Pelodiscus sinensis: one gene and its partners. The protein of the gene in region 1 interacts with the protein of each later gene in a pairwise test. Links are inferred from orthologs where the notes say so. Each region holds a gene or a part of one and is shown on either strand. Other genes may lie near its edges.

The links.
Region 2: the proteins of CEP70 (region 1) and TSGA10IP interact in binary tests that used the Homo sapiens proteins (3 or more experiments, as listed by UniProt). The two-hybrid records come from large-scale screens. The link is inferred for Pelodiscus sinensis from reciprocal best matches to the Homo sapiens genes CEP70 and TSGA10IP.
Region 3: the proteins of CEP70 (region 1) and ATP5PO interact in binary tests that used the Homo sapiens proteins (3 or more experiments, as listed by UniProt). The two-hybrid records come from large-scale screens. The link is inferred for Pelodiscus sinensis from reciprocal best matches to the Homo sapiens genes CEP70 and ATP5PO.

What each region holds. Positions count from the first base shown.
Region 1 is NC_134717.1:12,118,027-12,125,521, forward strand, and holds the start of CEP70 (centrosomal protein of 70 kDa), read left to right. Parts: upstream 1-4,482; 5' UTR 4,483-4,585; intron 4,586-4,619; exon of another isoform or gene 4,620-4,773; intron 4,774-4,802; exon of another isoform or gene 4,803-5,281; intron 5,282-7,495.
Region 2 is NC_134721.1:33,087,836-33,095,174, forward strand, and holds the start of TSGA10IP (testis-specific protein 10-interacting protein), read right to left. Parts: upstream 3,016-7,339; 5' UTR 3,001-3,015; coding exon 2,854-3,000; intron 2,414-2,853; coding exon 2,232-2,413; intron 1,625-2,231; coding exon 930-1,624; intron 678-929; coding exon 482-677; intron 1-481.
Region 3 is NC_134711.1:183,989,604-183,997,348, forward strand, and holds the start of ATP5PO (ATP synthase peripheral stalk subunit OSCP, mitochondrial), read right to left. Parts: upstream 3,016-7,745; 5' UTR 2,830-3,015; coding exon 2,800-2,829; intron 2,501-2,799; coding exon 2,450-2,500; intron 1-2,449. UniProt on the Homo sapiens protein: Subunit OSCP, of the mitochondrial membrane ATP synthase complex (F(1)F(0) ATP synthase or Complex V) that produces ATP from ADP in the presence of a proton gradient across the membrane which is generated by electron transport complexes of the respiratory chain.

The DNA of each region.
Region 1 (7,495 bases):
GTCTCTCCTCCATGTCGGTCTTCTCTCCTGAGCCTCTGGTCGCTCTCTCTCTCTCTCTCTCCCCCCCCCCTACTGCCTTCCCCCTCTCTCTGTCAGCTCTCCTCCGCCTCCTGCTTCACTCTGTGTCTCTCTCTTTCACTTCTCCTCCCCTTCCTGCCTCTCGGGGGATCGCGGAGCCCAAATGGCCATTTGGGCTCCGTACTCCCCATGCTGCATGGGAGGGGCGCGGATCCCAAATGGTCGGTTGTGCCGCTTGCTCCCACACAATGGCCCGGCTGAGCAGCGCAGAAGTCAGCCGAGCGCCATGGCGGGAGGCGAAGGGGGGCAGGGTGGTGAAGTTCACGGCTAGGGGGCAGGGCTTGGAGCCGCTGTCATGCCACACGTCACCACCCTGCCCCCCCTTCGCCTCCCACCATGGCACTCGGGTGACTTCTGCTCTGCTCAGCCAGGCCGCCACGGGGGAGCAAGCGGCGCAAGCAGCTGTTTGGGCCCCGCACTCCCCATGCAGCATGGGCCGCTCAGAGGGAACAGCCAGTATTTCAGTAACAGTGCCGCCCAGAGGGAACAGCCAGCATTTCAGGCAACAGCGCCCCCCCAGAGGGAACACCCAGCATTTTGCGTTACAGACTCACAGACAATGGGCTACTATATATATGATTATACTGTAAATCTTTTCTAGTCTATTAAATTCAATCTTAACAGTTAAATAAATATCATATAATTGAGTAAATTAAAGAAACTGCAGTTAGTTCAATGATTTTCTAACTTTTGTCTGCAAACCCCTAGAGGGCTGCAGACTATGTCTAAGATTTCCAAATGGTTCTGTGCTTCCATTTGACATTTTTAGGGGTCTGCATCTGAAAAAGTGTTGAAAACAAGTGGCTTAGGTAATATCTAATGTGTGTCTACATGCATGTAAATGGTGCATGCATGTATTATGTATTCATGTCAAGAAAATAATATGCACATCTATAGATCTTATCAGAAATGACCATTAAATTTCAGATTGCAGACATTTCCAGACCAGTTTATACTGAATTGAATGTTCTGGCATTGTTCCTTTTTACCTTACTTCATCTTCATAGAGAGTAATCTCTTCACGGGATGCCATAGTAACCAATACGGCCTTAAATCCAATTAGCAGCAAGGAAAGAGAAAAGCAGAATAGCAGCAAAGAAAATGTCGAGTACTGCAGTTCCTCTTAATTAAGAAGTAATCCTTTTTCCAATTTAATATCCATTTTCCTCATTCTTTACATTTAACACACAGGGATATTTTCACAAGAACTTCCACTAACCCTAACATAAAAAATGTAATATATTTCTACACTTGATACAACACAGGCAAATATAAATCAGTACCTGAGCTGAATATTTCACTTAATTTATATTTGCAATTTATCCACAAAGGTTAAGGGGACATAATGGAAGACCTTTTGATTAACTTCAGGTCAAAAGGCTAAGATCCTCTGAAAGAGATTCACTCCAGATCAAAGTTTTGTGTGTCAAGCATTTTTCCCTTTGAGATATGTCAGTTGAGTATGTAATCGTAGTGAAAATTCACAGGACAGCTATACCAAAAAACAGAATGTACATAAAAACGATACACAAAATGCAGGGAACTTGTAGAGAATGTAGTCTCAAAGAAAAACAGGAAAAGAGCTTAACACAAGAGGAACCTGGGAGGATATGAGGCTTAATGTGAAAGATACTTCAAGTTCTTCATTCTCGTGATTATTCCAGAACAAGATATTGAACAAGTACTATGGACTCCAGAACATTTATTTAAGGCTACATTGCATTTCCAACAGATGTGGTGAGTTGCCAAACAGCCACACATCAGCCCTTCACACATCCTCTATACCTGTCAAAAATGCATATGTTCTGGAACACCATAATCAGTGCTTAAGGATGTTAAGTAGTAGGTAACTGACTAATCATGTACTCGATACAATTTGTATCGAGTACACGATTAGTCAATAAGGGGCACAGTTGCAACTGCAGTTTTAAATATCGTAGGAGCCAGGCATGCAGGCAGCCCAGCTCCTACTGTATTTAAACTGCAGAGCCGCAGATGGTGTAGGTCCCATATCCAACACAAGCTGGGACTGCTGAGTCCTGGCTCATGCCGGGTCTCGATCTTACCCTGCTACAGCTCTGCCTTTTAAATGTAGCAAGGGCCAGGCAGCTCTTACTACATTTAAAAGACAGAGCTGCAGTGGTGGACCCGACGAGAGCTGGGACTCAACAGTTCTGGCTCACACCAGGTCCCTGACTACTGCATCTCTGTCTCCCCTGCACCACGAAGACTGTGCTAGGGGGAACCAGCTTTTAAGCCGGCTTCCCCCAGCACTGCTTCCCCTCCCCTGTTTACTGACTCTATATTAGAGGCAGCAAGGGAGCGAGTAGTCAACTCGACTACCCGATAAGCCTAGGCTTATCAGGTAGTCCACTAATCAACTACTATTTTACATCCCTATCACTATTTTCCCTTCTCCAAGCTTCTGCATTGTATCAAGGCATTTCAATTAATCTATCATTTTTTCCCATTAATAGAAATGCTTGGAAAAACGATAAGGATATTTGATCACATATTAAACTATAACATACTTTTGAAATTTAGTACATATTAGTCCGCAATACTCCTAGAATGTTGTCACTTATTTATCTATTTTGTTGAATTTTGTTTTTCTATCCTATTTCCATTGTGTCAATGTTTTATATACGTTCTGTTAGTTTTTTTAACCTAGTCTTTAATGTAAAATATAAACATAAGTTAAAAAGACCACTCAGTATGTCCCTGCTGCTGCCCCTCCTCTATGCCATCTTTAGAAGTCCAGAAAACTTGTAGCAATGGAGTCAGATTCACACTGATGTTATTTCTTTTATATTCTTGGTTTAGGGAGAGAAACCACATTGCTACCAAGCTTATTACAACATGGGATGCTGATTTTAATGACAGTGCAACTGAAATATGTGATGAAGCAGAATATTTCTGTTGGAAGGAAGGGGGCTGAAGGGAACAAAGGTCTTGCCCACATCAGCTCCTTCCGCAGTTATGGCAACTAGCCCGAGCCTCATGTTGTGGAATAGAAAGCTGCAAAGGCCACTGCCTTCCTCTCAAGAGGACCACCAGAGTCAAGCTCTATTTGGTATGTTACTAGGCTGGTTTACTGAAGACCCTCAGCACTTCTCATCAGCATGTTAGTAGTTGAACTTGACCAACTAAACTTAGGAAGTACATTTATGACAAATCACCTAAACAGCACCCTCATCTCAAAATAATCTATGAAATTTGCGCTACACAAATTGTGTATCTTATTTCAAGGTTATTTTAAAATAGTTTATTTCAAAATGTAGTCCCTTAACCCTTGTTCCACAAAGGTTACAGGGATTCTGGAATAGCGCATTCGTTATTTTGAAATAATGGGCACCTTTAAAGACATGAAATTGCTATTTTGGGATACTTCCGGTATCTCGAAAAAGCGCCACTGTCTAAACGTACCATTAGAGACTAACAAAAATACATACAGCTTCAGAGGGGTAGCCGAGTTAGTCCGAACAGGATAACCTTAAAAAACAACAGATAGTTTGGTAGCACTTTAAAGACTAACAAAAGATGGAGATGGTATCATCCAGCTCCATGTTTTGTTAGTCTTTAAAGTGCTACCAGAGTACGTGTTGTTTTTTAAGGTTATAAAAATACATACAGTATCATGAGCTTTTCTGGGCAAAACCCACTTCCTCAGATGAGATGATCTCGAGTGCCTGGGTTTTGGCCAGGAAAGCTGGTGATTCTCTGTAGATGTTGTCTAGGCTGGCGGCTCAAGACGCTGGTTTTTTAAGTTACAGACTAACAGGACTTGTTCCCGGGAGAGCGCCAGTCCCAAAGCGCGAGGGGCGGAGTTGCCCGTGTGTCCCCCACCGCCACCGGGATCTCCAGGGCGGCCAATGAACAGGGGCCACTTGAATAAAGCAAAGGGGCAGAGGGCTCCGAGGCGCTCCCCACGCGGGATTAGCCCGGCGCTCGGGGCAGTGACCGCGGAGCGGGGCGCTGCAGGCCAGGCTGGGCGGAATCGCAGGGACCGGGGGGGGGGGGGTCAGAAGCCGCCCAGGCCCCGCTGGGCTCTGGGGTGCGACGAGCCGGCAGCGCCCCCGAGGAGGAAGGGCGCCAGCCTGCCCGGGGCTTCTCGTACCTGGGCGCGTCTCGCTGCACACCGCTCCCCGCCGCCGCGCTCCCTCCGGCCCCCGCGGCCAAAATGGCGACAGGGGCAGGGAAGCGACGCGCCGCGCATCGATCAGCGCGACCGCCCGGCGCATCCACTGGCAGCGCCGCTGCCGCCGGGCCGGGCCGGGCCGCGCGCGCCCTGGGGGCGGGTGGACTCTAAGGCCGGTAACGGGCAGCGGGCCAGGCGCGAGCCAGGGCGCTGGGGGCGGTTCCCTCGTGCCGGGGCCTGGGAGGGGCAAGCTCCGCCTCCGCCGGGGCGGGGCCAATCGCCGCCAGCAGCGTCCTCTGGCTCCGCCCCTCCTCAGTTGTAACGGTCGCGGCGGAGCGTGTGGCGGCCGGAGGCTGAGCTCGGGGCCAGGTGGGGCGGGGCTGGTGGCGAGCGGGGTGGGGGCGGGCGGAGCCGTGGCCCTACCGGGACATCCCCCCTCCCCGTGCCGCGTGCGCGGGTCCCGGCCGCTCAGTGGTTCCGTCCTCGCCAGGCCCGGTGCAGCGCCGCCTGCGCTCCCCTCCCCTGAGTCTCCTCGGCTCCCTTGCGGGCGGCGGCTGGTGAGCGGGGCCAGGCCGGCTCTTGCGCTGCCCCTCCCCGAGGGCCAGTGGCAGCGCCGGCCGGCGGGGTGCCGGGCTCTGGGGGGCAGGGTCTGGAGAGCGGGTGCTCGGCGGAGACCGCAGCAGCCGCGGGGAGCGGGGCAGCATGGCCGAGGCTGGGTCGTAGGTCGGCAGGTTTTGCTGGGTGAAGGAAGAGGGGTTTTTAGCCAGTCAGTGAGTGTTAACAGCAGGGGGCTAACGCAGGCATTTAACCAGCCGCCCTTGGCCAGAATACCCCCTCATTAAATACCCATCGTCTGCCCTTGTGGCCGGCAGCCGGCCTTGCAGCTGCGCTCCAGAACAGCCCTGGTGGGGATTGCCAGGTTTTGGAGCACTCAAAATCTACTCGCCTGGGCCCCCCAGGCTCTGGTGTGCAAGGGCAGTGTGGGGAGTGTCATCTCTGGGCACAAAATACGTATGTGCACCCAGCTGACTTTTCTGTGGGTCAGCGGCTGCTCATTGACATCAGGTATGTAAGGTGGGGGAGGACTGTGCCAAAGCATCAGGCATAGCCCCGTCCACACTCCGCTGTAAGCGTTCTGGGGGCGGAGTGTTGCTTCCCCCTGCACCAGCACTCCCAGTGCTCCAGGGTTGGGGAGGCCAGGCTTGGCTGCATGGCATGCTCTCTTCCCTCCTTTGGTGTTCTGGGACTGGACAGGCTGAGCTAGACTGGGCTGTTCCGTGCAGCATGGCCTGCCTCCTCTCTCCTCCAGTGCTCGAGAGGCTGGGCTCGGCCAGGCCACGTGGCATGTTGCGCTTTCCAACAGTGCTGGGGAGGCTGCGGCGACTGCACACCTCCTCCCCTCGGTTGGAAGGGGGGAACATGCGTGTGGTGTGCCATCCTGCCTCCTAGGAGATAAGGAAAGGTTGGGGCTGGAGGGGTTCCCCATCCCTATTCTGGAGGCTGCTGCAATACATGGGTTGATCTGTATCACAATCGGCTAACTACGTTAGTGAGTGGGCCGCATGAGTGGTCCTCCTTCATCTTGGTTGCAAGATTATCATAACCAAGATGGCCTCCCAGAATAGTGTAGTTTTCCTAACCTAGTTTTGCATACCTAGCATTTGTCAGGTGTGCTGACTGAATTGTGTGGTCCGTACTCATCTCTTTTCACGTGCCCTTGCTTTATGTGAACGTCACTTTAGCAATATCAGTCGGGGGAAAAAATTAGATGGAGACCAGCAGAATCTGGCAACCTTGCACTTGGGCAGTGGTGAACAAAATGTCTTGCAAGCCACACATTGAACTTGGGATGTTAATGTATAGTTGGTTACACAGTTAACCGATAAGCCCAGGCTTATTGATTAATCATAACAACTACATGCAAATTCCCTCCCCCCTTACCGCTTCTGATATTTCAAAGGTGGAAGCCGGTGTCTATAGGAAGCCAACTTTTAAGCTGGGTCCTTGTGCTTGCCGCCTCCCACAGAGCCATTTGCCTCCCACAGAGGCAGTAGCGTGGGGGAGGTGGGAGCTGACTCCCCCCTGAGCACTGGCTTCCCCCCCGCGCTGCTGCCTATAATAGGCATCAGTGCCCGAGGGAGAGGAAGAGCAGATGGGAGCTGATACACACGGGGAGCTGGCTTTTAAGCTGAATCTCTGTGCATGCCTGCTCTACAAAAGCCCCCACCTCCCTTTGCTGCCTCCCACAGAGGCAGCAGTGAGAGGGAGAGGGGCTTCTGCATGTCCACCTCCTCTCTCCCCATGTTGTTGACTCTTTGGAAAGTGGCGGGGCAGGGCGTCACGAAATCCAGCATGTGCGAAGAGCCAGTTTAAAAGCCTGCTCCCCATGCATGTTGGCTCCTGCCTGCTATGGCCCCTTGGAGCTGGCACGTAAGGCAAGCCAGTTTTCAAGTCAGCTCGCCACTGCTTCCCACAGAGGCAGCAGCGCTGGGGGGGAAGTAAAAGGGGACCAGAGCTCAAGAGATCCAGCTTAAAAGCTGGCTCCTGACAAGCACTGGCTCCTAGGTAACCGCCTGCTCCTCTCCCCGATGCTGCTTGCTCTTTATCGGGGGCAGCTGGGAGCTGGTGCTTGCACCTGTCCCCCTGCATGTAAATGTGTAACTGCTAAAATTTTCAGGGGTTAGACATTTACACAAATGATAGTTAACATTCCTACATTGAACTCTGATGGGCCATAGGTTGCCCACCACTGGTCTGTATTGCATCTTGCACTGTAATATAATGGTACAGGTTGAACCTCCCAAATCTGGGACTCTGGTCCGGCAACATCCGTGGTCTGGCAGGGCCAGCGATGTTGCTGGACCAAACAGCCCTGGAGCAACATAGGGCTGGGGAGCCCCAGTTGGGCCAGGCTGCATTTCGGGAGCCCCTGTGCTGGCCTGGAACCCCCAGCATCAACAGGGAAAGCCAGTGGCTTAGGACCCTTAGCCCCAGCCAGGCTCCTGCCCAGGCTGGGGAAGCCCCCGTGTTAACGAGGCCACATGGCTGGGGAGTCCCGGTGTAACCCTCTACTGAAGTGGGGCTGGCAGAAGCGGGCAGCCGGAATCCCCAGCGATGGTGTGGACCTGGCTGGGGAACCCCCAGCGGCAGGAGGGCCGACGGTGGCCGGGTGGCCCTAGTTGGGAACTCTGGAGAACACCTGGCGGCAGTGGGACCAGCAGCGGCCAAGCGATCCCCGCCAAGAACCTTGGGACACCCTGGGGCAGTGGGTGGGCAACA
Region 2 (7,339 bases), on another chromosome or scaffold:
TGTGCTGGAGGGCAGTGTGTGCTGAAACCCAGGCCTGGGATAGCAGGGGCCTCTAGCTTGGCATGTCAGTTATCTGCTTTTAGCCAGACTATCCTGCCTTTCTATCCAGTACTGAGAAAAACAATGTGGCTTTGTCCAGTATCAGATGAGAGATGCCATAATGAAGAGTGCCTCTCTGCCCCCTCTGGTGTGACCTGGCATGCACGCCACATGTGTCAGATGATGCTGGCAGAGGTGGGCTGTGTGCTCTTCAAAATAGCGCCCCTTGTGCGGCACTGGCAGATGTGGGCTCCTGCCATTCCCAGTAGCACTGGAATGTTTGGTATTTCTGGAATGCATGAGTAGCCACCCTAGCTGTAGGTCAGGATTATGGGGGACCAGCAGCGCTGGGGAGGGGATGGCAGAGGGGCCGCAGCAGAGCTGAGGGAAGCCAGGGCTGGAACAACTGGGGTGTGAATGAACTGAAGGTCATTGTCCATACCTGGTGGCCTCCTGCCGTTTGTCAGAGGCTCTGGTGGGTGGCACTGAGAGGAAGGGGTCGAACTCTGAGCAGGACTGGGACCTGCAGTGGAAGCTCCAGAGCTGGTGCTGCTCCCAGTCTCTGAGCTGGTCCCCAGGTTGGTGCTGAGAGCTGCTGGCCATGTGGAGATGGAAGGGTTTGTAGATGGTCATCTTGGCTGGTGGAGGAAAACACAGAAAGTATTAATGGAGGGTTCCTGAACCTTCCCATCAGCTGCACTTCCCACGCCAGAAACAGTTGCATCTTAATTGCCAGGGGAAGAGTCTCTGAATAATCAGCCCTTGTGCCTCCTACTCCAGGGATTTTTGTATAAGCAGTCCCACATCAGAGGCAGCTCCATCTCAGTGCCGGGCATGAGGTTCCGTTTAAACAGCCCCCAAAAGCAACTGCATCCATCTCCTTGGCTCACCTCTCACTTTCCTCTTCTCCAGCTGCTCCTGGAACCTCTTGTGGAGTGTCTCAAAGTCAGGGATGGTCCGGTTAATGATGGGTTGGTACCGGATCTTGTCTTTGGGGGCCAGCCCTTTGCCCTTCCTTCTGTGCCCCCTGGGGCTTGGGTCCTGTGGCTCTGTGGCCAGGCACAGAGCCTCAGCTCTTAGCCTGGCCCGGAGCTGCTGGGCAGAGGTGGACGTCTCCCAGGCCGGGGAAGACACAGCCTCCTCCAGACTCAGCAACTGCTGAGCCAGCTGGAGCCAGTGCCTCCTCTCCTCCCGGAGCTGGCGTTTGCGGGCCTCACTCCGGGCCTCCATCTTCCAATACAGTGGGGAGAGGCTGCTGGAGGTGGGGTGGGGTACTCGCTTAACCCTGCCCCCCTCAGTGCTGCTGTGCCCCTGTGAGCTGCCAGCCCATTGGTCTGCACGTCTATGCAAACCCATCTTCTTGGGGTGGACACTTTCACGGGGAGAGTTGTTGGGAGCTCTGCGGGGCTCCCCCTTCTTCATCTGGTCCAGGGAAGGGGCTGGGAGCAGGGCACGGCCGTTGAGTGAGAATTCCTCCCACATCCACTGGAAGGGGAAGGAGGGGCGGGAGCAATGGGGTGGGCGATCAAGGGTGCAGGCAGGAGCTGACTTGGAGGGAAATGGGTCCTTAGGAATGTCTCTCTGCCTGGTGGTAGGGAGAAAAGGAGATGATGAGTTTCAGATCAGAGCAATGGAGCCACCTAGCCTGGTATCCCCCAGCTAATGAGCCCAGCATCGCTACTCCTATCCAGCTACCCTAGACTAAGCCAATGGGTTCATCTACAGGGCATACCATAGACATGACCACATCTCACATTGAGCCAGCAACAGACTCCTAGCTGCCCCCCTCCTCATGGCTCTAGCCCAGTAGAACCCACTCTTCTCCCTTTGTCTCTTTACAAGGCAAGCCCTTTGGGGTAGAGACTGTCTCTCACTGCGTGTCGGTCCAGTGCCCAGTACAGTGGAGTCCCAATCTTGGTCTGGATCTGTGCACCATCTGGGACAATGAGGACCCCTGATCTGGGTTGACGAGCCTGGGCAGCACCCAGCAGAATGGGGGCCCCAATCTTGGTCAGGGTCTATGTAGTGCACAGCACAATTGTGGCCCTGGTCTTGGGATCTGTGCAGCACATGCCGTAAAGGGGTGCTGATCTCAGTCGGCACATGTGGACACTACTAATAAAATCTCTATGCAGCAGCAGCAAGCATAAGTTTGGCCCAATGGCCATAAGGATCCCATCCATCCTACTTACCTTCCTGCAGATTGGGCCGAGTCCTGGTCCCCATCACAGGTGTCACTCACACAGGACTCCTGCATCTTGCAGCATGGGACCCGGCTGCCTCTTCTCCCTGAGGGGGGACCTCTGGGTGACCCCTTTCTCCTCCCTTTCCTCATCAAGACCACGATTCCATCACCATTATTGAAAACCTCCTCCTGAAACCGCAGAGCAGAGGCAAGAAGGACCTGGCTTTTCTTCTAGGGGACTGGCTGGCTCAGGCAACAGAGACTGGGACAGGAAGCCTTTCCCTCAGTAGGTCCTGGCTCAAAACTACCTAGTCCACTAGTCACCACACTCCCTCCTAAAGCTGGAAGTAGTGCATCCTAACTCCACTCCCTTGCTCTCTCTACTTAGCCAGCAGTGTCACTCTACAAACATCCACACAGGACAGTGAGAAAGAAAGACACGTGCCAGGTAAGGAGACCCTACAAAAACAAACTGCAGCCCCAAATTTTTCCCTGGGTGTTTGCCCGTTGTGGGAGTCCTTCACAGCAGGGAGAGGAAGGTAGAGTTTGGGTGGTCGAAAACAGATGTTGGGCCCCCAAGGACTGTGGGATGCCAGTACACAAAGGGGGCAGGGAGTACCAGGAGTTACCTCTTGGGGAAGGGAGCCTGAAAGCAGTCCTAACAGGTGCACCCTGCCCTTCTTTTGGTAGAGGGTGCCAGGCGCCCGGGCTTTGGGATCCAGGGAGGGGCTGATGCAAGCATTGGTGAACATAGAGTGGCGGTGGGCCCCCAACATGGTGCCTACCTGAATTCCCCCCCCCCAGCTGTTACTGTGGTGATTGGCCATGTTCCAGAACATGGCCATGGTTGGGAGGGTTCCAGAGCCTGGCCTCACCCCCACTATATGGTCACCATAGTAACTGTGGATGAAGGACAGACCATGGCTCTGATCCTGGCCAGCAGCCCATGAGGGGAGAGACTGTGCTGTTAGATCCCCAAGAAGGGGAAAGCTTGGGAGGGGCAACATTAGTCTCAGGGACATTGTGCAGCTCATAAAAGGCATGAGGAACACACAATCATTCAGAACAATGCCATGGCCCATCCAACATATTGGCGCGTATCTGCCATGGGGAAGGGATGAAGGAGAAGGGAGAAGGCAATCTCTAGGGTCACATGTGGTCCAGAAGGTGGGGTACTGTACTGTACTGAGACTCAGGACATCTAGGTTCTATTCCTGACTCTGCAACTGAAAATCTCTTCTGCCTCCCCCCATCCCATTTTGTGCCTTAGTTTCCCTCATTTTTTTCTATAGTTTTACTGTGACCTCTTCAGTGCAAGGACTGTCACTGTGCAACTCCCAGAGTGATGGGATCCCAATCTTGTTTGGGATCCATGCAGCACCTGGCACAATGAGGCACCAAATTTGGTGCTATTATAATGCAAATAAATAATAACATTAGAGACAAACCCCTGGATTTTACTGCAGAACTTAAAGATGGTGCCTGCCAGGAGCACAATGCCCTTAGTCCACTCTGGGGCACTGGGAGCCTGCAGTGAAGGAGAATTCCCCCTTCTGATCTTCCCATACTGCTTTCTGCAGCACTTTACCCTTTGATCACCTGAGGTACTAGGGACAGCACTGAGTCACTAATCCCCTGTAGGAACAGCCAGAGTCCTGGATAGCTCATTCTCAGCCATGATCCCTATAATTATAGTCTTGTTTACATCTCTGCCTGGGAGCCCAGCCAGGCAGAGGGGGAGCAAGAATTCCTTTTTGCTTCACACTGTTTCCTCTGATTCCCAGAATTTCCTGTCTCTTCCCAGGACAGGAGGTTCCTGTAAGGTCCCATCTCTCGGTGTCCAGCTGCAGACTTTGAAGGGGAGAGATGGTGGGGATCAGGGTATGGCCTCCTTTAAATTCACTCCTCTTTCCTGCACTTTATGGATCATGTAAACCTGAGTGTGGGGCTCCTGATTGGGGATGCAAACTCTGTGTGGAGCGTGAATCGACATAGGCCAGAGGAAGGGGACATTGCTTAAGGCTGGTGGAGGGAACTAGGGCTGGAGAGGGAGCTGGAGATCTCAGGCTCAGTTATTGTAGCTCTAAGTGGGGTTCTGACTTGGCTGAGGCTTAGGTTGGACAAGTGGAAATTGGTGGGGATAGGTTAGGTTGGATTGGGGGTGGGGGTGAGGTGGAGGAATCTTTGGGAGAAAAAGTCTGAGCAGATTGAGTCTAGGGAATTCTGTCTGTGTTTCTCCAGCAGGGCACAGAAAGGACACTGTTAACTGCAAAACATGCTACAACAACAAGCGGCTGAGTCCCTCCCCTCCCCTTGAACTGGCTTGGCAGGGGCTCTGGGCTGGGACTGGCCTTATTAATAACCCCTGACAGCTCCTGTTGCAATAACAACAACTGCAGGGGGGAGGGGTTCTGCCAGGAGCAAATGTGTCTGTGGGATAAACAGGATTGGAGGAGGGGCAATAGATCTTAGGTGGAGAGAGAATCAGTGGAGGACACTGTAGGCTGGTGAAGGGAAGGCTGGGGATTGATGGGGCACCACAAGGGAGAGATGGGGGCACTAAGGAGTAATAAGGGCCCTGGGGACTGGAGTAGTAGTAATGGGGGCCAAACACTAGAGGCTGGGGGGACTGATGGGGTGCTATCAGCAAGAGCTGGAACAGCAGAGGCTGGGTGATGTGAGGATACTGGGAATGGAATAGGGAAGGTCACTGGCAGCTGGGATGGGCAATAGGGGTTACTGGGAATGGATGTACAGGGGCACTGGAAATCAATGGACACTGGGGTATTCTAGATTAGGCAGCGGAAGCTGAAGTGCTGGGAATAAAGGGTATGTCTACACTACCCCCCTAGTTCGAACTAGGGGGGGGTAATGCAGTCATACGGAGTTGCAAATGAAGCCCGGGATTTGAATTTCCCGGTCTTCATTTGCATAAAGCCGGCCGGCGCCATTTTTAAATGCCGGCTAGGTCGGACCCCGTGCCGCGCGGTTACACGCGGCACGGACTAGCTAGTTCGGATTAGGCTTCCTAATCCGAACTAGCTGTATACCTCGTTCCACGAGCCTAATCCAAACTAGCTAGTCCGTGCCACGGGGTCCGACCTAGCCAGCATTTAAAAATGGCACCGGCCGGCTTTATGCAAATGAAGCCCGGGAAATTCAAATCCCGGGCTTCATTTGCAACTCCGTATGACTGCATTATCCCCCCTAGTTCAAACTAGGGGGGTAGTGTAGACATACCCAAAGGGAGTGTGAGGTATTCTGCAGCCCTGGCTCACTGGCCCAGACTCCCTGAGGAATAGGGTTGCCTGGTGTCCAGTGTTGAACAGAACAGTCCAGTATTTGAGCTTTCTGTTTGGGAAATAAATTGAGAAAATATAAATGAGAAAATATCAATGTCCAGTATCTTCTAAATAAGATGTAATGTAGATTGTGATGTAATGTCAAGTGTGTCCGGTATTTTTGTTGAAACCATCTGGCAACCCTACTGAGGAAATGCAGTAGGGGGAGGTGAGGTGTATCCCCTTCACTTCCTCTAAGCAGGGCAGCTCCTTTAAGGGCTGAGGTCAGCAGAGCTGGGGCTTCCATGGAGCCTGCTTCTTCTGCCTCAACACAGACCCACAGGGAAGGGGCCCCCCAGCTCTGCCAGTGGTTCCCAGGCCTGGGCCCTTAGGAAATGATACCCAATCTTGATGCTGCCCTACAGTGCAACTGCTGGCATGGAAGTGGGGGTGCCCCTTTCCCAGTCGTCACAGGTCCATGGAGCTAGGGGGCAGTACTAAGTTCCAAAACAAAGATGACTGCCAGAGAAGGGGTGATGGTTGTCAGGGTAATAACACAGAGAGATGACTTCCAAGAAAGATTGGCACAATGATGGCTGCCAAGGAGGAGAATGGTCATGAATAGGGGAGGCACAAAGATGGCTGCATGACAAGATGCAATGGCTGTTGGCAGGTCAGTGGAAACACAAAGATGGCTGCTGGAAGCCATTTTGTGTAATTCTTCTCCCAAGATGGCTGAGCTGTGCTAGGGCCTAAACCTTCCCTGGGGTGGTGAATTCTTCTCCCATTCCTGGCGCCACCCTGACTGGCTGGCAACATTGGGCAAGAAGCATTCAGGATCCATTTGTGGCTCTGGAGCAGCATCTTGGCGCCTGCTATTTCCCTCCCTGTCTCTCCCACGCCCTTGGCTTCCTGAGGATTCAAGCCCCAACATGACAATGTGGGAGCATTCCCCAGGGTTTGTATATGTGTGTGTGTGCTGCTGTGGGAAAAGAGAACTGGAGTGACATGCACATGTCAGAGTCAGGGCAGGGGCATATGTGATGGTGAGGGTTGCACAGTGGGCAGGGAGAAAGGGGCAAGGGATATGTGTGTATACAGGATAGAGAACGTCAGGGGTGCACAGAATGACAGGATCAAGAGGGTGTGCACATGGAGGAGAATATTTGGGTGTATATACAACATGGAGAGGCCAGGTAGCACATGGAGTGGGAGAAAAGGGGGGTACATAGAGTGGGATGAATAATGGGGTATATACATAGCACGAGGGTGCTGAGAGAGGTTAGAGGCTGGTCAGAGCAGGGAGGCTGCCCATTGAAGGGATGAGGGCACTAGTCTCTGATTACAGCTTGTGTGACTGGCACTTGTTTACAGCCCTTGCCTTTAGGCCACATTTGGTAGGGGGCGTGGCTCCTGGTTTTCTCTGCTGACTCAGGTGCTGCTGCTTATGGTGGCAGAGCTGGGGCACCTGTGCTGGGAGATCAGCACCTCAGCTGTGGCACTTGAACCCTCCCCCATTCCACTCCTTTTGGGTAAATTCAATGCCCAATTTGAATTGGGGCAGTTTGGTGGTAGCCATCACAGAGTAGTGGCCTGGCAAGCTTCCTTGTAACACCCCTGCCTCAGTGTGTGTTTTGGGGAGAACTTGCTATGGCTGGAGGGGGCACTTTGTCTCCATGGTCAGATCAGCCCCAGAAGCCCTGCCCAGTTAATGCCATTCAGATGCAGCTGAGAACTGGACTTTATGGAGGGGGTGGGGGAAGGGGTGTTCCAGGACCAGGAGGCAGTTGGAACTGTTTGTTGGTGGGTAAGAAGCCCACAGGTAAGGGCAGAT
Region 3 (7,745 bases), on another chromosome or scaffold:
ACCTGGGACAGAGCAGCTGGAGTGCTGCTGGGTTGGTCTCGCAGTGCCAAGGGTTGGTGCTACCAGACTAATCCAGCAGTGCCCTAGCTGCTCTGTCCTAGGTGTACCCAAGTCAGCCGCTGCTGAAACTGATCAGGGGCTGATTCCAGGAAGCCTGGGGCACAGCAACTCTGCCTCAGGCTTCCCGGAGTCAGCCACTGGTCAGTTTCAGCAGCGGCAGAATCACGACACCTGGGGCAGAGCAGCTGGGGGGCTGCCGGGTTGGTCTCGCCGTGCCAAGGATCGGCACTACCGGACCAACCCGGCAGCACTCCAGCTGCTCTGCTGCAGGTGTCCCGATTCAGCCGCTGCTGAAACTGACCAGCAGCAGCTGAATCAGGGACGCCTGGGACAGAGCCGGACTATCGTAAGGGGGGGGCTATGAGGGGCCTGGGGTGGCATCCCCCCACCCCAGACTCCTCATAGCCCCCCCCTTACGATAGTCCGGCAAATCTGATAATCCGGCACCTCCTGGGTCCTAAAGGTGCCATATTATCAGAAGTTTACTGTAGTAAGAGCCCCTGGGGTCTTACATTTAAAATGTAGAGGCACAGCAACCATGCCAGCTGGGACTACTTGGTCCCAGCTTGTGTGGAATCTAGTAGCTCCTGCCCACAACTAGTCCTGGCTGCTTTGAACAGAGGCTGCTCCAACAGACAGGGGCCCCCATATTCCTCCCCCCCCCCCCGCTGCCTCTGATTGGGGGGGGGGGGGGAGAGAAGATGTGAGAACACCCCGGAGACACTGTTGGGAGGATTCAACTTTTAAGTTGGTTCCCCCTAGCACTGGCTTGTATTCCGGGGGGGGGGGGAGGGGGGCGCACCGCAGGGAGCACCGGGCAAGTGGGGGGCTCAAGCAGTTCCCACTCACCCCATGATCCCACTGTGGCACTTCAGCCTTTGAAATGTAGCAAGAGCCCAACAGTGTTGAAACGCTGCAGTGGAAATAGCAGCCATGAGCGGGGACTGCTTAAATCCCACTAGCACTGTTTCCCCCGCTGTGCCTCTGCTTCCCCTGCCCCCCAGAGACAGCGCTAGGGGCAACTGGATTTTAAGCCGGCTTCCCCCAGCACCAGCTCCTGCTCCTGCTCCACCTCTACTTGCTGCCTCTGGTGGAGGTGAGGGGGGGGAGAAGGTAGTGACTAATCGAGTCTCAGTCACTAGTGGAGAGGAATCCTGTGGCACCTTATAGACTAACTGAAGTGTTGGAGCATAAGCTTTCGTGGGCAAAGACCCACTTTGTCAGATGCAGACGAAGTGGGTCTTTGCCCACGAAAGCTTATGCTCCTACACTTCAGTTAGTCTATAAGGTGCCACAGGACTCCTCGCCGCTTTTGCAGATCAGACTAACACAGCTACTCCTCTGATACTCAGTCACTAGTGTAAAACAGAAAGCCCATATCAATACAGCAAAGGCAGTTCTCAGAGCCCTCAAACTTAGAAAGTCTCAGCACCACGCAAACAGGTGGCTCAGGCTGCTCTTTGTCCCTATCTTATATTACCTTCCTAGCAGCCCCTCTTCCATCCTTGATGCTGGGTCCTTTATTAATGTTATGCTGGTCACCCAAAGTTACTAATCACTTGAAAATCTTGACCCCAGTAAATACACTATTTAACTCAGTTTTCTGAACAGTTCTTTGGTAGAATCATCAAGCTTAACTTCACACAGTTAAAACAGTTTCAATTAGTTAGAATGCCAGAAGGATTGCAGCAGAGTGGTCACTCAAATCACTTTAAACAGGAAGCCCTGGTAAAAGGAATTCCGTTTTTGATAGAAAGCATTTCTGCTGCTGCTGCTACACTGGAAGGTACAGACACACAGAAAATCCCTCCTAGTACTCAACAGACAGTATGGGGTTAGGAGGCATGTACTGAAAAAAGGGTTCTACCCCGTCATTCACCTACTCTGTCAAGGGGTGATACCAGAAAGGAACAACACGGAAGAGTCAAAAGCTGGCAGCAATATGATACTTCATTTTTTCACATCTCAGAATTACAAGAGAAACTCAACCAAAAATAACCAGCTTAACCATAAGCTGCGTTAACATAACTTATAGGCAGCTCAGTTAAGCAGCGTTGCTATTCCATTTTGATCTGAGCAAGTGGGTCTGGCCCACGAAAGCTCATCATCTAATAAACCATCTTGTTAGTCTTTAAAGTGCTACATAGTCCTGCATTTTACTTGCTATTCCAGGGCACTCCAGGGGTTTAAGTCTGTTCCACGCCAGGCGTCCCCATTGAAGCCGGTGCCGCCTTTCAGGTGCGGGCGGCACAGACGCTCTTGGCAGTCCCCCTAGGCGCGCACAGCGGCACTTGCCTGTCCCCAGCCAGCGGCGCTGCCGCACTCGCGCCCCGGGGCAGCGAAGCTCGGGGCGGGGGAAGGGGCCGGGCGGGGGAGCGAGCGGACGCACCTTGACGAGCGGCGCGGCGGGCCGGGCGAGGGCGGTGCTGAAGAAGCGCAGCTGGAGGAGGGCGAGACGGAAAACTCGAGTTAGGCGACTCCGGAGGGAAAGGCCCGAGGCCCGGCGCGTGCGACCCCGGGTTCCCGCCCGCGCTTGGGCCACGCGCCACCCCCCGGGGCCGCCTGGCGAGCCCGAGCGAACCCGCCTCCCCCACGTCCCGCCGAAGCCAGGAGCCCGAGCCTGGCTCGCGGGTGGGGGGGCGACAACGGCCGCCGAGGAACCGTTGGACTGGGGGGGGGGGGGGGGCAGGCCCTGTTCCTCCCCGCGAGCCCGGATGCGGGGGCGGCGCTGCCGGTCACCTTCCCCGGGAGCCCCGCGGCCGCCGCCATCGTCTCCTGCTACTGTAGGTCAAAGCGGGGCCCTGGCTCGGTAGCGGCCAGGACGCATGCGCACACTCCGCTGCGGGGCACGCTGGGAGAGCGAGTCTTGCAGCCCCGCTCACTCCTGGGAATTGTAGTTCATCAGCGGGCGGCGCGGAGAACGTGACGTGAGCCGCCAGGCGGAAAGAGCCCACGCTGCGGGGCTATGAGCCGGGTACGGAAGCCCCGAGACGTCCCCACACTACCTACGTCAGGCGTAGAAAGAATGTGGTGCCGTTTGGGTTCGACTGAGCATGCGCGGTAACAATCCCAAAACCGCTGCTCTTGCCCCGCCCTTACTTAGGGTCGGGTTCTGCCGCCTGCGCTGTACAGCAGAGGGCGGGGCGGGGCGGAGGAGCGAAGTGGTGGGAGGGGGAGGAGTTACGCCCGGGGCAGGCGCTACGGGGCGGGGCGCAGGGCCCCGCTGGCTAACCATTGGCCCTGCTGTGCCCATGCGCGTCAGTTCTGCAGGGAGGCAAATCGCTGCCCCGCTGCCGCCCCTGCTAACAATCGCTTGGCTGCGCAGCGGGGCGCCTTTGCCTCGCGCTGCCTGCCACCCGCGCCGCGTGCTGCTCTCAGCGCGGCCACCCGGCTTCTGCTGCCTCCGCGCCGCTCCTTGCGCTGCACCCCTTCCCCAGCGCCCCCGCCTCTTCCAGCCCCTGCCCCGCCCCTGCAAGCTGCAGAACAGCTGGCGGCCGGATCAGAAACTGCTACCGGTAGCACAGACTTACAAGAGAGCAGCTCTCTGCAAAGCACCCGCAGCTACTCGTAAGCGCCAGTTCTTCTTTTCCCCCTTGGATCCTCCAGGTGCAACTGCAGAGTGGATGCCTATGTGCATAGTAAATATTCATTGAAAGTACTTACAAGTAAATAGTTGCTAGTGGCTTTAGCAATGACAGCCGTGTTTCTAGAATAGCTTTACTATATATTTTATTGTGATTTTTATTTTGGAATTTTTGCTTTTCACTTCTTGTTTTGATAGCACAAGTTTATTCGGATGGATCATTGTAGCTGCCAGTCGGATAGATTGCCTAGCCTGGTGTCAAAACTTTGTTTTCATTTGATCCATTAAAGAGAATTGCCTTTTGCAACTGCTATTTTGCCTCACTCCAGCCCTCAATGCTTTTTTGCATCTCATTTCTTGTGTGTAAAACTTCATTCTCAAATAGTCAGTAAGGGACAGTATACTATCATATTAAATCATTCTCAAAGGCAAAAACCTATTTTAATTTTTGCTGAACAAAAGGTTGACTTTATCTGGTTAAACTAATTCTCCTAGCCCAATATCTTGTCTTCCAATGTGCTTCCAAAGAAGGACTACAATAGGCAGTCAAGTGATTCAACCCCTCTCATCCACTTTCAGCATCTGTCAGTCAAAGGTTTAGGGGCACCTAGAGAGGAATTGCATCCCTGCTCATCTTGGCTAATAGCCACTAATGGACCTATCCTGAGGAACTTATCTAATTATTTTTGAACCCAGTTATAGTTTTGGCCTTCACAACATAAGCACAGAGCTACAACCTTGACATAGCTTGACAACCACAAGAATTACAAAATCATGAGATATATACCTTCATGTAATTAAATTTTTAACAAAATAAATTATATTGTGTTCTATTATGCCTCTTTGTTCCAAAACCTTTAGGGCCAGCTCCACAAAAGCAGGAACTTGAACACCTGAATGACTCTTGAAACCCATTGCATACTTTTCCTGTTGCTACTTCCAAACATTGCGTATAACAAAGGCCATATCTATGCAGCAAACTTATGTTAACAAAAGTTACATCAGCATAGAATTGCCACAATTAATATGTCACGGTGGCATGTGCCATTATTAACTTTTTGTGTCAGTGGTGAGTGTACTCACCAGAACCACTTATATTGATTCAGAACATGGAGCAGCATAGATAGCTCACTGTGCAACTTGCCACCATCCAGCACTGTATTTTTGGGAAGTTTTGGCAACCTGTACTGGGACCAAAATGGGTTGCACTGGGGTGACTAGGATCAAGAGATCAGCTTCCCATAATGCAGTGTTCACCATGCCCTAATTTCATACATTGTCCATATGTAACATTATACATCATTTTTGCACCATTTTCCCTAAATTCCACAAACCTGCATGGCCGTCCTCACTGTCTGTCACCTCTGGTAGAAGCATAGAACCTGCATAACTCTGCACTATTGGCATGAGCATTGCAAGCTGTGTAATCCTGCAGTATTTACTGAGTCTGGAGAATAGACATTGAGGGAGATGATTCCATGCAGGAGAGATTGCTGTGGGACATAGCAACGATCAATTCACACTTGGTGGTGGCATTCACAGAGCAGCTGCAGATGGTGGAGTAATGGTTCTGGGCCTGAGAAACAAATTCCAGCTGGTGAGATTGGGTTGTAATACAGGTTTGGGATGATCAGCAGTGTCTGCAGAACCTTTGAATGCGCAAGGCTACATTCCTGAACTTGCCAAAATGACAGCTGCACTGATAAGGAAGAAGTGAATATAGATTGCACTCTGGAAACTTGCAACACTAGGTTACTATGGTCAGTTAGAAGTTTCTCAACTAAAAACAAGGTAGAATGGATTTTTTTTGTTATAAATAGTTAATACTAATAGTTGTGTGAGAAAAGGGGGCTGGCTCTCCTACTGGTTTCCTGTCTTTCTGCCTCTGCACCCTGCCTGAGAGCACCATCTGCTGGCCACCGCCTGCCTGCAATCATCTGCCAGCTACAAACAGGAGGCCTCTGCTGCACATTGACCAGCAGGGGGAGCAGAAACACAGGATAATTGCCCCCCTCCCGCTTTTTTTAAAGTCAGGACACCAGCAAAACAGCTTAAATAAGGTACTGTCCTGTTAAAAACGGGACAAATGGTCACCAAATCTTCCCCTAAGAGCTGGAGGGAAATGCTTTCTGTTTCCATGTGGAGCAGGGCCATGTGGCACCTGAGGCAGGGAGCTCAAATGATGCCCCCATGCCCCCTCGCTTGGGCCAAAACTTTGAAAGGTCTCAGTTGTGCCTTCTTCCTGTTCTATTCCTCTCATGGGACTGCTCTGCTACCTACATATGCACCAGCAGCAGACACAATTTTCTATCCTAGTGGTGCCCCCTATCCTCCAGTCTGGCACCTGAGGTGTCTGCTTCAGTTCGCCTCATGGTAAGGCCAGCCCTGATGTGGAGCAAGGGCGAGTAGGGAGCCTGCCTTAGCCCCAGGCTCTCTCTGCGTTGCCAGTTGAACTTTTAACCTCCTGTTTGGCAGTGCCAGCCAGAGCTGCCAGTCTCTTTTTGACTGGGTTTTGTAGTTGAAAACCAGATGCCTGCTAACCAATTTTTTTTGGAAATTCATATTTTTGTGCTGTTATATTTCATGTCTTGAGCTATTAAGACTTTAATTGGCTAAAATCTTAAAGGTGATCTAACTTTATGCACATAGCACAAATTTACATCCATCACTCTTATGATTGGCCTTGGAATGCTGCATTTTTGAGTTTGGCTTACCCTGCTTGTGTCTGCAATTTACACATCATACTTACAAAATAAAGTCTTATTATATGGCTAGATACTACATGTTTGCTATTTTGTAAATGTTAACTGTGTGAAATGTTTTCTTCTGTGAACAATACTCGGGGAAATCTTTTCAGGTGAAAATTGCAGAGGTTTTGACGTATAAGAGAAGTAACACATCTTAAAGGAACAATTAAAATGGGTAGGTTTAACTTATGTCTATTTTCTGCCAACTTTTCTTTAAAAGGCAAGCAATATTTTTTTCATATAATAAAGAAACAGAATACAATGGAATTTTCAGCATATAGGTGACGATCCTGATCCCTGCCTTCCCAACGCTGGGATTATTTGAAGTGTTAACCTTACTTTCAATGGGGCTATGATTAGGATCACTGTCTTTCTTCAAACTTCTTAGAAAATCTCGTTAGCTACATATGGAAGCAATGTAACAAATGTATTTGTCAGTTACATGGAAATGAACATAAATTATAAATATTAACAAAAAAATCCTTTAACTTTGTATTTCTTAAGTATGTTATCCAGTGTAACCACAAACGGTAACAACCCATATACGTTCACTGAGTAATGAGTTCTAGTATTAAATAAATTTCAACATGTAATTTTAACCACATAGTGAAATTCCTTTATATTCAAGCCTTGATAATCCATACTATATCCAGATATCTCTTATATTATATGTCTTTGAAAATATCTGATTTTTTTAAAGTGCAAAGCTTAATCTCTGATTAGCAGAGGAGACATTCTGCCATTCTGCAGAAGGAATAAAGGTTGCAGTTGTACACACCATGAAACAACCCTTATGACTTCTTGAACAGTATCATGATAGTCTACAGAGCAGACATCAAAGAGTAGTTAACATGAGAATTCTGCTGATCTCACACTATTATTGGCCAGGGATGATAAAAGACATCACAAATTGGGTATGTAAATTAGGGAAGCAAAATCCTCAAATATTAAACTTAAATGTAAATACAAATTTGAAACTTAAAGTGCTAAGTATAATGTCTTTGCATTCAGTGTAAAGATTTAACTGGGTTCTCTTGCAATATTTTAATATCTGAATGTTAATGTCCTCATATTATTCTGTCCTAACTAGGTTGAGCAATATCTGCTTTGCCACAAAGGGGTCAAATCTGGATACCATCTTGAAAAGCATAAAAATGAATTTTGCATTCTATCTATATATCTGAAATTTTTTTTTTTACATCCTTTCTGTTGTCAATGCCTTAGGAATGTTCTTAGTGCAGACTGCATATAAATGACATATAGTCTTATTCACTTCCTTAAAAAGCAGTAATAAATCTCTGAGTCAGTTGTTTATCATAATCCATCTTTATTGCTACACAATGAGGCCTTGAATT